Linked DNA regions of Bombyx mori. The protein of the gene in region 2 interacts with the protein of the main gene of each other region in a biochemical or structural test. Links are inferred from orthologs where the notes say so. Each region holds a gene or a part of one and is shown on either strand. Other genes may lie near its edges.

Region 1 (5,023 bases), on a different chromosome or scaffold from region 2:
ACTCGGTATTCAGTACAGGTAGATACTATAGGAACATAATATTTCGTCGAAAACTCGTTGGTATGTACAAAGCACGCATAAAATACGAACCCCGTACCCGATATCGGCAATTCGGCACACCTACTATTCATTAGACAATCGAGGCAATTTCATTAATTCAGGAGTTTTTTCAATCGTTCACTTTGTCACAACACTATTTTTATTTCATCAAAACCTGACAACACAGTAAACGTCAGTTTACTTCGTCTAATAAAAAATCCCACTATACAGAACATTTATTCATTAATTACAAACGTCATTCCTTGTGACTTCCTCTCTAAAATCACTTAATTATTAAATATTTACCGAATTTACAATAGTGTTTTATTCACTGCGGCATAAAACTATTTTATTTAAATAGTTCCGAAGAGATTTTGTCGGTAGCCTTTTTCCCGAAATATCTAAACAGAATGTCAATAATATGTTTTGATGACATATTTTAAAGAGGTATTTATAATTAGTGTCATGATCAATAGATTCCGACCGAAAAATGATTTTTCGGATGAGGGCTCCGTAATGAATTTAAATATATATAGATAATAGTTTTGGGGCATCGACTTTCTTGAGATCCTATAAAATACGTTTTAATTATTATTTTTGTATGTTTTAAGCATGATAAAATATGAAATTTTATATAAGCAATCATATTAAATCGCAACCCAAAACAGACGGCCGAACTGACGTGACAATGACATTTGGAGCGCTCAACATGGCGGATTTTCGGCCTCATTAGACATTTACGTATATTCATGTTTCATTTTATGTACGCACTGAAATACTGTTATATTATTTTCCTGCGAGTTAAAGTGCTGAGTAAGAACGAGATAGATATATGTTTATGTGTGTGCCTTCAAAATGGGTGCTATTTATATAAGCAATTGTACGTATAGTACAATATGTCGTGTCCCTACTATATAGGTCTATGATAATCTATGATAAAAGTGAACTATAAATGACAGCCCCAAACTAATGAACATTTTCCAAATAAGATATGACCTAAAGGTCTCTGTCACCACGTCATAAAATTAAAAAAAAAAACAAAAATGACAGCGACTTTTTGGCGGGAACGGAGGAGTGAAGTTGTGTGATTTGTTTTATTTTGTCTATTTGGTGTTTCTTCAGGTTTAAATGTGTAATAATGGTGGTTTATTAACTGTTTAGTATCTGTGAAAGTGCACAAATGTGGGAAAATGAAACAAAGCCGCCGGACGTCACTTCTCGGGATCCTCCAAAAAGTCCAACGAAAAAGTCTCAGTAAATGACCACCAATTTACTGAGATTATATTTCATCCCATATCATCTCATTTCATTTCATTTGATTTCATCCCAGTTGATTAATGTCTCAAATTAATCATCTTCATTTCATTTCATAATTTTTCATAAAAATAAGAGTATAAATTAAAATAAGACATGACTTAAAAGTCTTAGCTACCAGGTCATAAAATACCTAAAAAAAGAGAAAAAAAAATGACAGCGACTTTTTGGGGGGAACGTGAGGAGTGAAGTTGTGTGATTTGTTTTATTTTGTCTATTTAGTGTTTCTTCAGGTTTAAATGTGTAATAACGGTGGTTTATTAACTGTTTAATATCTGTGAAAGTGCACAAATGTGGTAAAATGAAACAAAGCCGCTGGACGTAACTTATCGGGATCCTCCAAAAAGTCCACTAAAAAAATTTCAGTAAATAACCACCATTTTACTGAGATTATATTTCATCCCATATCATCTCATCATGAATACTTGTATATTCAATTGTCCTTCGACATGTCCACCACCATTGTCAATACATTGACGGGCAAGTTTCATTAACTCGTTTTTAACGAGAGAAGTGCGCTTCTATGTCTTTTCACTTCGTCAAAAGCGTCCAATATGCGCTGTTTTAATTGTGCGAGCCTAACCGGCTCGCTTCTGTACACACATCTCTTAATTTCACTCCACAAAAGAAGTCCATGGGCGTGAGGTCAGGTGAGCGTGGAGGCCAAGCTACAGGCCCAATGCAGAAAATAATACATTTGCTTCGGTATTGTTCAGTATCCTGATGCAAAATGAAATCCTCGCTACATAATCAACGGTGGTTAATTCCTGAGATTTCCTGTAGTGATATGGATATAATCCGGCCTTATTAACAATCTTCCAGGCACAGGACTGGCTGTTGTTAAACCGTCGAGCAGTGTCATTTGTACTCCGTCGGGGATCCTCTTCAAAATACGCTAGTACATCGTCGTACAGATTTTGTCACAACGCCAGTCTTCCTCGTTCTTGACTATGTGACGGTGCGTGGAATGAACCGTGATCAAGCAAATGCTGGTAAGCATTTACCACGGTTCGCACATTTGGCTGTCGGGCGTTCGGGTACTCTTCCCTGTACATACGTACAGCTGCACTCGCGTTCGGGTATTCTTCCCTGTACATACGTACAGCTGCACTCGCATTTTCTCCACTCAAAAAGTACCCACGAAGCATAGCTACATACTCCCGTGATGTGAACTGATAAGCCATCGCATCAGGGAAAACTTAAACAAACAACTGTTGCAACGAAAAAAAGCATGCGCACACTTCCGCTAACAATTTAGTAGTGTTTAGGTTTTTGTCGTTATTGTTGAGTTGAGTTGACTTGAGTTTCCTGGAATTTATCAATGGAGCAGCGCCCCGTAGATACTAAAACCCTGCCGCACGTACTTTCGGTCATTGATTTAGTTATTTAGCATTTACCAATTATTACGTATTTTTATGGACAGTTCTGAGACTTCGTGTTTTTTTTATTTTTAACTACCATATAATATGATTAGTTAAAGATACTTAGAGCCCAGTTAATTTTTTTGTACTAATTTAAAAATAGTGGTGTATAGTTATAGGACCACGCGCCTGTTATGACAACAAATTTACTGAACATATAATTACGGTAACATTAAGGTTATTATGAGAATTAAATAACTCGCTTTTGGCCCCAAATTTAAAAACGACCCATTGATCATCACACGATATAATCTTTTGATACACACACACATGTTCGTTGGTGTCACTTCTTCGTCATTTAATTTAAATAGTTGGAAGTGAAGAGATCGACCTTCTCTATAGAAACATAAACACATTGTCATTAGTCTGCCAAAAATTGCTAAGACAAACAACTAGGTATACCCACATCAATTCTAACGAAGTGGTACAACAGTTAAATTAATATGCTTTTTGAGATTACATTGAAATGGCTGTTCCAGATGTTTGTATTGTGAAAATTTTGTTGAATATGTTTCAAATGACAGATGAAATTATTATTTTATTTCTATAGAATTTTTACGGCAACAATTTGTTGGCATGAAGAGAAACTAAAATCCATAAAAAGATGAAAATGAAACAGGACTGTAACCCAAAGAGTAAAAAAAGTAGATCTGAGATAAAAAAAAAATTAATTGTATTAATGCCGGCCACTGACATGCGCGCAAATATTCGTACATTGTACGAATGTTTGCGCGCATGTAAAGGGCCGTCAAACATTCATTCGCAAACCTAGCGGCTGTGCAAATGGGTTCGCATACTCAATTTGCGAACCCGTTTGCGCTTCCTCCTACACTTGTTTACGAATGTCTCACGAATTTCTCCTCCTTTTTAATTCGTCAATAGAACATTGAAAAGAAAAAGATTTTTGAATTCTTTCCCAGACATGATTAACAGCCATGCTGTTTTTATGGGATTTCTTTTGATGAAGATACGCTACACAGTAGACGTCACGAACTATGAAAACGGCGTTACCTTCGCAATCGTCGGCGCAACTGGGCAAGCGAATGTGTGGGAGACTACGCGAAGGTTCGAGGTTCGCGCGCTTTGATGTCTGTTAAAAAACCGACACAGCTTGGAAAACCACGAATGCAGCGAAAACTTTGCATAATCATTCGCAAATGTCGTCCTACACTTGCGGGTTTGCGTATTCGTGCGCATGTGAGTGACAGAGTGAGTAATGGACAAACTAAGCCAGAATAGTCTATGACTACCCCTACGTGTTAAGTGTATTATCTATGACTACGTGTCTGGAATCTATCGAGTGATTAAAAATAAAGGATTGTGGGTAGGTACCTACATACCTTATCTAAAAAATGGAATAGTGGGACTTGATAATTTAAAAGATAGATATATCATCGAGTTTTGAAAAGAATCGATGAGATGAAATGATAAATATTGTACACACATGAATGTACTATGAAAGTACGTAATTATTTGAACGCTATTGGTTTTCTAAGTAAGTATTGGAATGTAAAATTGTGAAATACTGCCTCAATTATGTAAATTGTAAGTTTTCATTTTCAAACAAAATATCCCCAATCATTAACAAGTAAAGCATATGTGTGGTGTAACAGTACTGTTTGACTTAATGTAATTTACTTATCAAACAAAGTTGACAACGTTTTTTCTGTAAAACTTTATAGGTGAAGACTGAAGACTACAATGCGATGCTTCCTCGAAGGCGAAATATAGGCGTTACAGAAAGACTCTTGGAAACAGAAACGGATTCATACAATAAATTAGATAAGAAAGGTGTTCATTACGGGGAATCGCGGCCTTACGAGAACTCATCAAATTCCAAATCAACATTGATTCTTAAATCATCTGACCAGGACGTGTTTAAATTTTTAGAAGAATTTGTTTTTGAACCAGTTATGGCTTCAAGAGATAGAACAAGTGAATTCATTTCAACTGTACGCAGTCTCCAAGGACGTTTCTTAAACAAACCAACCGTAAGAGATGATAGAAAAGCTGCTGTGTTGGAAACTTACTCCCAATTCATGAGTATGGCAAAAGTAATTAGTAAGAATATTACTAGTACATATACCAAATTGGAAAAGTTAGCCTTGTGTAAGTATTTTAAATGATTCAGGCATAAGTCCAATATGAAGTGTTATATTCTTTTCATTTATTGCTTTTATAAAATGTTAAATAAACATTTTTTTTTAATAAGATGTAAAAGAAACGCTACATTTGCTATAAACTAGGTA
Region 2 (5,209 bases):
TGTCTGACTGAAGATAAGTGTATTGTTTATAAAACTTTACCTAAGTTGGAATGGCTGTTTCTCGTTGAGCATACACATGAGCAGGACGAGAAGAGTGGGTCGAGGCGGGTCGGAGGGCGCGGTGACCTGCGCGAGGTAGTCCTGCGACTCGGGCTCGGCGCGCACCGCGTCGGCCACCGCCAGGATGGTGTCGGCAAGCACGGCGGCCGGCACTCCGCTCGACATGAGCACGCCGCACAGCGCCGCCAGCACGCCGCCCGCCCGCACCGCGCGTCGACAGCCGCCCGCGCCCGCGCCCTGCCCGCCCACCAGAGCGCGCACCACCAGCAGCGTGACCTGCACGTTGGCCACGCGCTGCGCCGCCCACCCGGCCTCCTCGGCCTCGTCGTCGCGCGTCGCCAGCAGTGGTAGCAGACGCTGCACGTAGCTACCCTCTTTGAAGAAGTTCACATTGCTGCTGTTGTTCTTCAGCAGATTCAACATCAGTAACAGACAGTCTTCTACGATGATACCGCCCTCGGCGTGTCCTTCGCTCGCAATTATCTCAAACAATCGGTCGAATGTATTCTCGAACGCTACTATTTTCTGTATGTTGGCATTGCCCTTTGTCAGTTTTATTAAAAGCAACAATGTTTCGTTTCTTACGACTTCCCGGGTGTCTCCGAGGAGGTCTATCATCTTGGATACTCCCATTGGTTTGACTAGAATGATCTCTTGGATGTCACGGGTCCTGTTCGTGAGCATGAAAGTAAGTAGCTGTACGGCTGAGAGTCGCACGCGAAAGTCGTATTCGTCAAGAAGATCTAACACAAGCTGCACATTCTGTGGATCTTTAATGAACATTTCAGTGAACTGTTCCCCGATGTTACAAGGAACTTGGTGGTTGTCCTCTTCAACTTTGAAAAGAGTTGGAGACATAATATTTTTAAGGGTGTCAAGTGCGTAGTGTATCGTCTCATTGTCTGCTCTGTCTAATTCTAGTACCTGGGAAATTTAAGTAGCTATTAAATAATAATCAAGAATGAGATTTATGACCCACACACCAGTACTAACCTGACGGAGAGCATCCATGGCCTGGGCACCGACTTCAATGCGGTAGTTCTGCGAGAGTGCTTTGAGCGCACGGCAGCTGTCTCTGCGGTCTTGAAGCAGTGTAGAATTCGTAACGCGCTCCACTAGTCGCTCGACCTGTCCCACCAATGCCGTGTATTTCATTATTGCGTTTCTTAACCTATTAGTCTATTTTAAATTATAGTAAATCCTTAAAGAGCAAACCAAAGATTATTATGTAAACAAATACAAATTGCCAAAATTCAACTTTACTGATGAATTACTTAACTGGGAACCGTGAACAAATCATGCGCGGTCATTCTGCCTAAAATTAGGATTCCCTGTGCTATGGGTAGCAGAGACTGACATGTGTACATATACATGTCAAGATAACAGCATAAATAGTTATAATAATTTTATGCTTGACAAGTTATAATAACATATGAGTAGACAATTTGTTAAATTAAAATTACAATTGTTAAATAATGTCTTATCATTTCCTGCAAATTTTGTATTTTAATTGATGGAGTGGGAGTCTTAGCTTCAAGACACAATCTCCTAAAGTTAACATTATTAGTTAAATATTTAAATATTTTATGCTATAGTACAATGCTATAGGCAAAAAAATAAGTACATTCAGTAATACTTACTAAGCACTAGTAAAACTAAAAATTAGCATATTTTTTAAGGTTATGAACCTCAATAACAAGATTCTTTACGACTTGATCTACCTACAGAGACTTTGCTATTTTGCTGTCTTATATTTTGGTTAATAGCCAGACAGTTTTTCATTTGGTCCGTATACTACTATTAAAAGTATTATGGTTTCTAGAAAAAATATATTCTTATTGTGGTTTTTATTCCATATTGCTATATATATTCCAAATTTGCAAACTTGCAGCCTCTTGAAAATGTCTGAAGTCACATCACATTTTTAAAAATTGTACCATGATATAGTATTGTCATCAGTTTTTGCAAATCATAAACATATATTTTTTATTGCTTAAATACTCTTTTTATTGCTCACAAGAGGTCCTACTGCCAGTTTAATTAAAATAGCTTTTACAGTGTAATCTCACATTTACTATTCTGTTTTGCACTACGTACACAGACAGGCCGCTTAGCCTCATGTGGTTATTGTCAAAGACACTATATTATTATTTTTAATCAATTTCAATACTATTTTCTGCAAAATCTAGTAGCTCTTAGATTGACAGATAATTCTCTGCAACCTGCTCATTAAGAAAGCTTATTATAAAAAATGCTCATTATTAATTACGATAGCCGATGTTTTTACTAAATGTAAGGGCACTGTTCTCTGAGCCAAAAATAAAGTAAACTATAGTAGTAATCACACATCTACAGAGGTAGTTAAAAACGAAAACTGATCTTGATTTGCTGAATATAAATACTTTGTGTTCATATACAACATATAGCTGACGGCCTGCCCACAAGTCATGGAAACAATGCCTCCTCAGATTTATTTGATTGGAATGTCATCTAGTAAGATATAGTGAATAGTGCTGAATATATGAAATTATGGTGGCTTAAAGGAATGATCATCAGTTCAGTACAAAACGTAGCTCCGTAGGCGTGGTATTAGTCTGTGAGTGCATGAGAGATAAGATTTTGATTAATTTACAAATTAATTTAATAATTATATTTTATCTCAAATCTTTCAAATTGCTTGATGCTATAAAAGTCTAGTTTACATGAACAGTACTTGATTGGTATCTATAAATAGCCCGAGAGTAGACTATTATTCTAGAAATCTTATTAATAAAATGATCACCGTTTCAGCTGGAGACGGTGCGGCAGTGCCGACCTCTGGAGACCCCAGAACAGTCTTAATACCGCTTTTGAGGAAATCCATTTTTTTTACGTGCGTTGCTATACACTTTATACCTCTAGAAAGTAATTATAATAGAACTCATGTTTTATCACTTGTTATTTTTCGTGAAATTATGTTCAAGTCCTTTCCATAAATAAAAGACACGTCAAACCTTCAAACGAATTTGACAGTTGGTGACCGGTGCAATGCTGCCAGATGCTTATAGACAATTCTCCTACGACAAATTCAAAACCTACTAAATTCAAAATATTCATTTTTATCAAAATTTCCTAAGTTTTGTATTGCGTAAGTATATACCTAGGTACTCGCCGGGCCCCAAAGACATCACGACGTGAACGTCATCAATCACACTGAAACATGAGGTCGTAACCTCAAACGATGGCTAAAATGTTGGTCGTCGACATTTCATTATTGTACCAACTAAAAGGGTAACGCTTGAATAGGTATTGTATTAACTAAAATATTCATGATCATGAAAGCTAAACTAATAGCTGGACATGGCTTCTCGACTTCTTCCAAAACATTAATTGAACTCTTAATTAATTTTAACCAGTTTCCTGAGAGGCACTACCTACTTAACTTATTTTCATCAATTCCATTTGATTTAATATTTTGTTTCATTCTTTGACCTTTGATAAAGTAAGCATGCCTGTATAGACTACATTCCCTTCGTCTGCCTAATTGACTAATAAAACAGAAAAAAGTTAAACGTTACAAATTTACAAACAGTCCCTCAGTTTTTTTAATTATTTATTTTGATTATTACGTACAACATCGACAATGTCTACTGATTTAAACTCCAGTTTCACAGAACAATACATGAACATCAATACAAAAATGAAAAAGTAAATATATATTTTTTCTTATTGTAAATAATGTATTTCATAGCTTTAAAAAACTAAAAATGAAAATATTTTTTTAACATACTTTTTAACATATTATGACTAATATTTACAACTTGCGTTCAATCTAAAGCAAAAATGAAATATAATTACGTTGAATTTTCAGGCGTTTCATGCGGAAGCCAAATGTTTCTGAAGCAACAAATGAGTTTATAGCACTAGCGATACAATGTGAACATTCTGAACAGCCAACGTTTGCAGGGCATTCTTATGTGGGCGCTGCGAAATGCGAGGCCTCGGTGGGAAATTTCCTTGGTGAAGCAGAGCACTATATCTCTGCAGCCAGACAATTCATTAAAGCTGAGATGAAACTGAAGTCAATGAAATTCTACAGTCCCGAAAGAGAGAATTTAGAAGTAAGATGCTGGATTGAAATATCTTAAAGCAACATTTTCTTGCTTAGCCAACAATACTGTGCGAGATACATTTTCTTCATTTTCAACTAAGATTTAAAATTGAATCCTTTCATAAATAGCTATTGTGGCATATCATATACATATTATAGGTATCTTTAGCTAAGCAATGAATTGTAGTATTAGCAGCATTGTTCATGAAGTATACTGTTGTGAAAGAGATTATTTGTTGATTGTAAACCTTTGATTAATCTCACTTCTCTGGTTAGAGCAGAGTGTGATGATTATCTTATCCATAATTTACAAGTTTATGTAAAAACAAATTGATTTTTGAAATGGAAGATGTATCTACGTAATACTTTTATATTGATAATAAGCCTAGGCAACCCTCAAAGAATGAGTACTATTTGTTCTGGTTTTTCATGCATAATTAAAAGTAGTATAGAGCAATCCTGCCAAATCTTAACCATTTGAGACTGAGGTCTGCCAAAACCCTAAATCATACAAAAAACATTAGGTATATGTATAATATATTAAACATGATTTTTAAAGTAATTGATCAAATTAATGTGTTTGTGTTCTTACGGCCTGGCCACGGGGATCGACGGTGCGAACAGCGAAGCGGTGGACGAGGCGACCATTCGCGCAGCACCGTTTGCAGGCCACGGGTACTCACGTTCGCTGCCGCGACTAGTAAGGAAGTCCGATAGCGAAATGTCTATATCGAAATTATCTCGATATTGCTTACAAATTAATAGTTTTTTGGTTCAGGACCTATTATTTGGAAAAGATTGTAAAGTACATGATTTGAATAAGAATCAGAGTATACCTATAGATGGAGAATTCCACAAGAAGTACGAGAAACACTTTGGGTGGCTAGACTTCCAAATAGCAGGTCTAGCTAGTATTTCAGCTATATATTTTTTTATTGCTTAGATGGGTGGATGAGCACACAGTCCACCTTGTGTTAAGTGGTTACTGAAGCCCATAGACATCTACAACGTAAATGCGCCACCCACCTTGAGATATAAGTTCTAAGGTCTCAAGTATAG

Evidence for each region.
Region 1: the proteins of general vesicular transport factor p115 (region 2) and syntaxin 5A form a complex in vitro, tested with the Homo sapiens proteins (2 studies listed by BioGRID). The link is inferred for Bombyx mori from reciprocal best matches to the Homo sapiens genes USO1 and STX5.

What each region holds. Positions count from the first base shown.
Region 1 is NC_085118.1:10,687,996-10,693,018, reverse strand, and holds the start of syntaxin 5A, read left to right. Parts: upstream 1-1,519; 5' UTR 1,520-2,320; coding exon 2,321-2,345; intron 2,346-3,694; coding exon 3,695-3,846; intron 3,847-4,017; exon of another isoform or gene 4,018-4,229; coding exon of another isoform or gene 4,230-4,235; exon of another isoform or gene 4,236-4,269; intron 4,270-4,456; coding exon 4,457-4,883; intron 4,884-5,023. UniProt on the Homo sapiens protein: Mediates endoplasmic reticulum to Golgi transport.
Region 2 is NC_085109.1:1,633,768-1,638,976, reverse strand, and holds the start of general vesicular transport factor p115, read right to left. Parts: upstream 3,083-5,209; 5' UTR 2,924-3,082; coding exon 2,843-2,923; intron 1,189-2,842; coding exon 1,054-1,188; intron 985-1,053; coding exon 41-984; intron 1-40. Other genes in the region: uncharacterized protein LOC101741560, read left to right, coding at 3,683-3,747, 3,911-4,160. UniProt on the Homo sapiens protein: General vesicular transport factor required for intercisternal transport in the Golgi stack; it is required for transcytotic fusion and/or subsequent binding of the vesicles to the target membrane.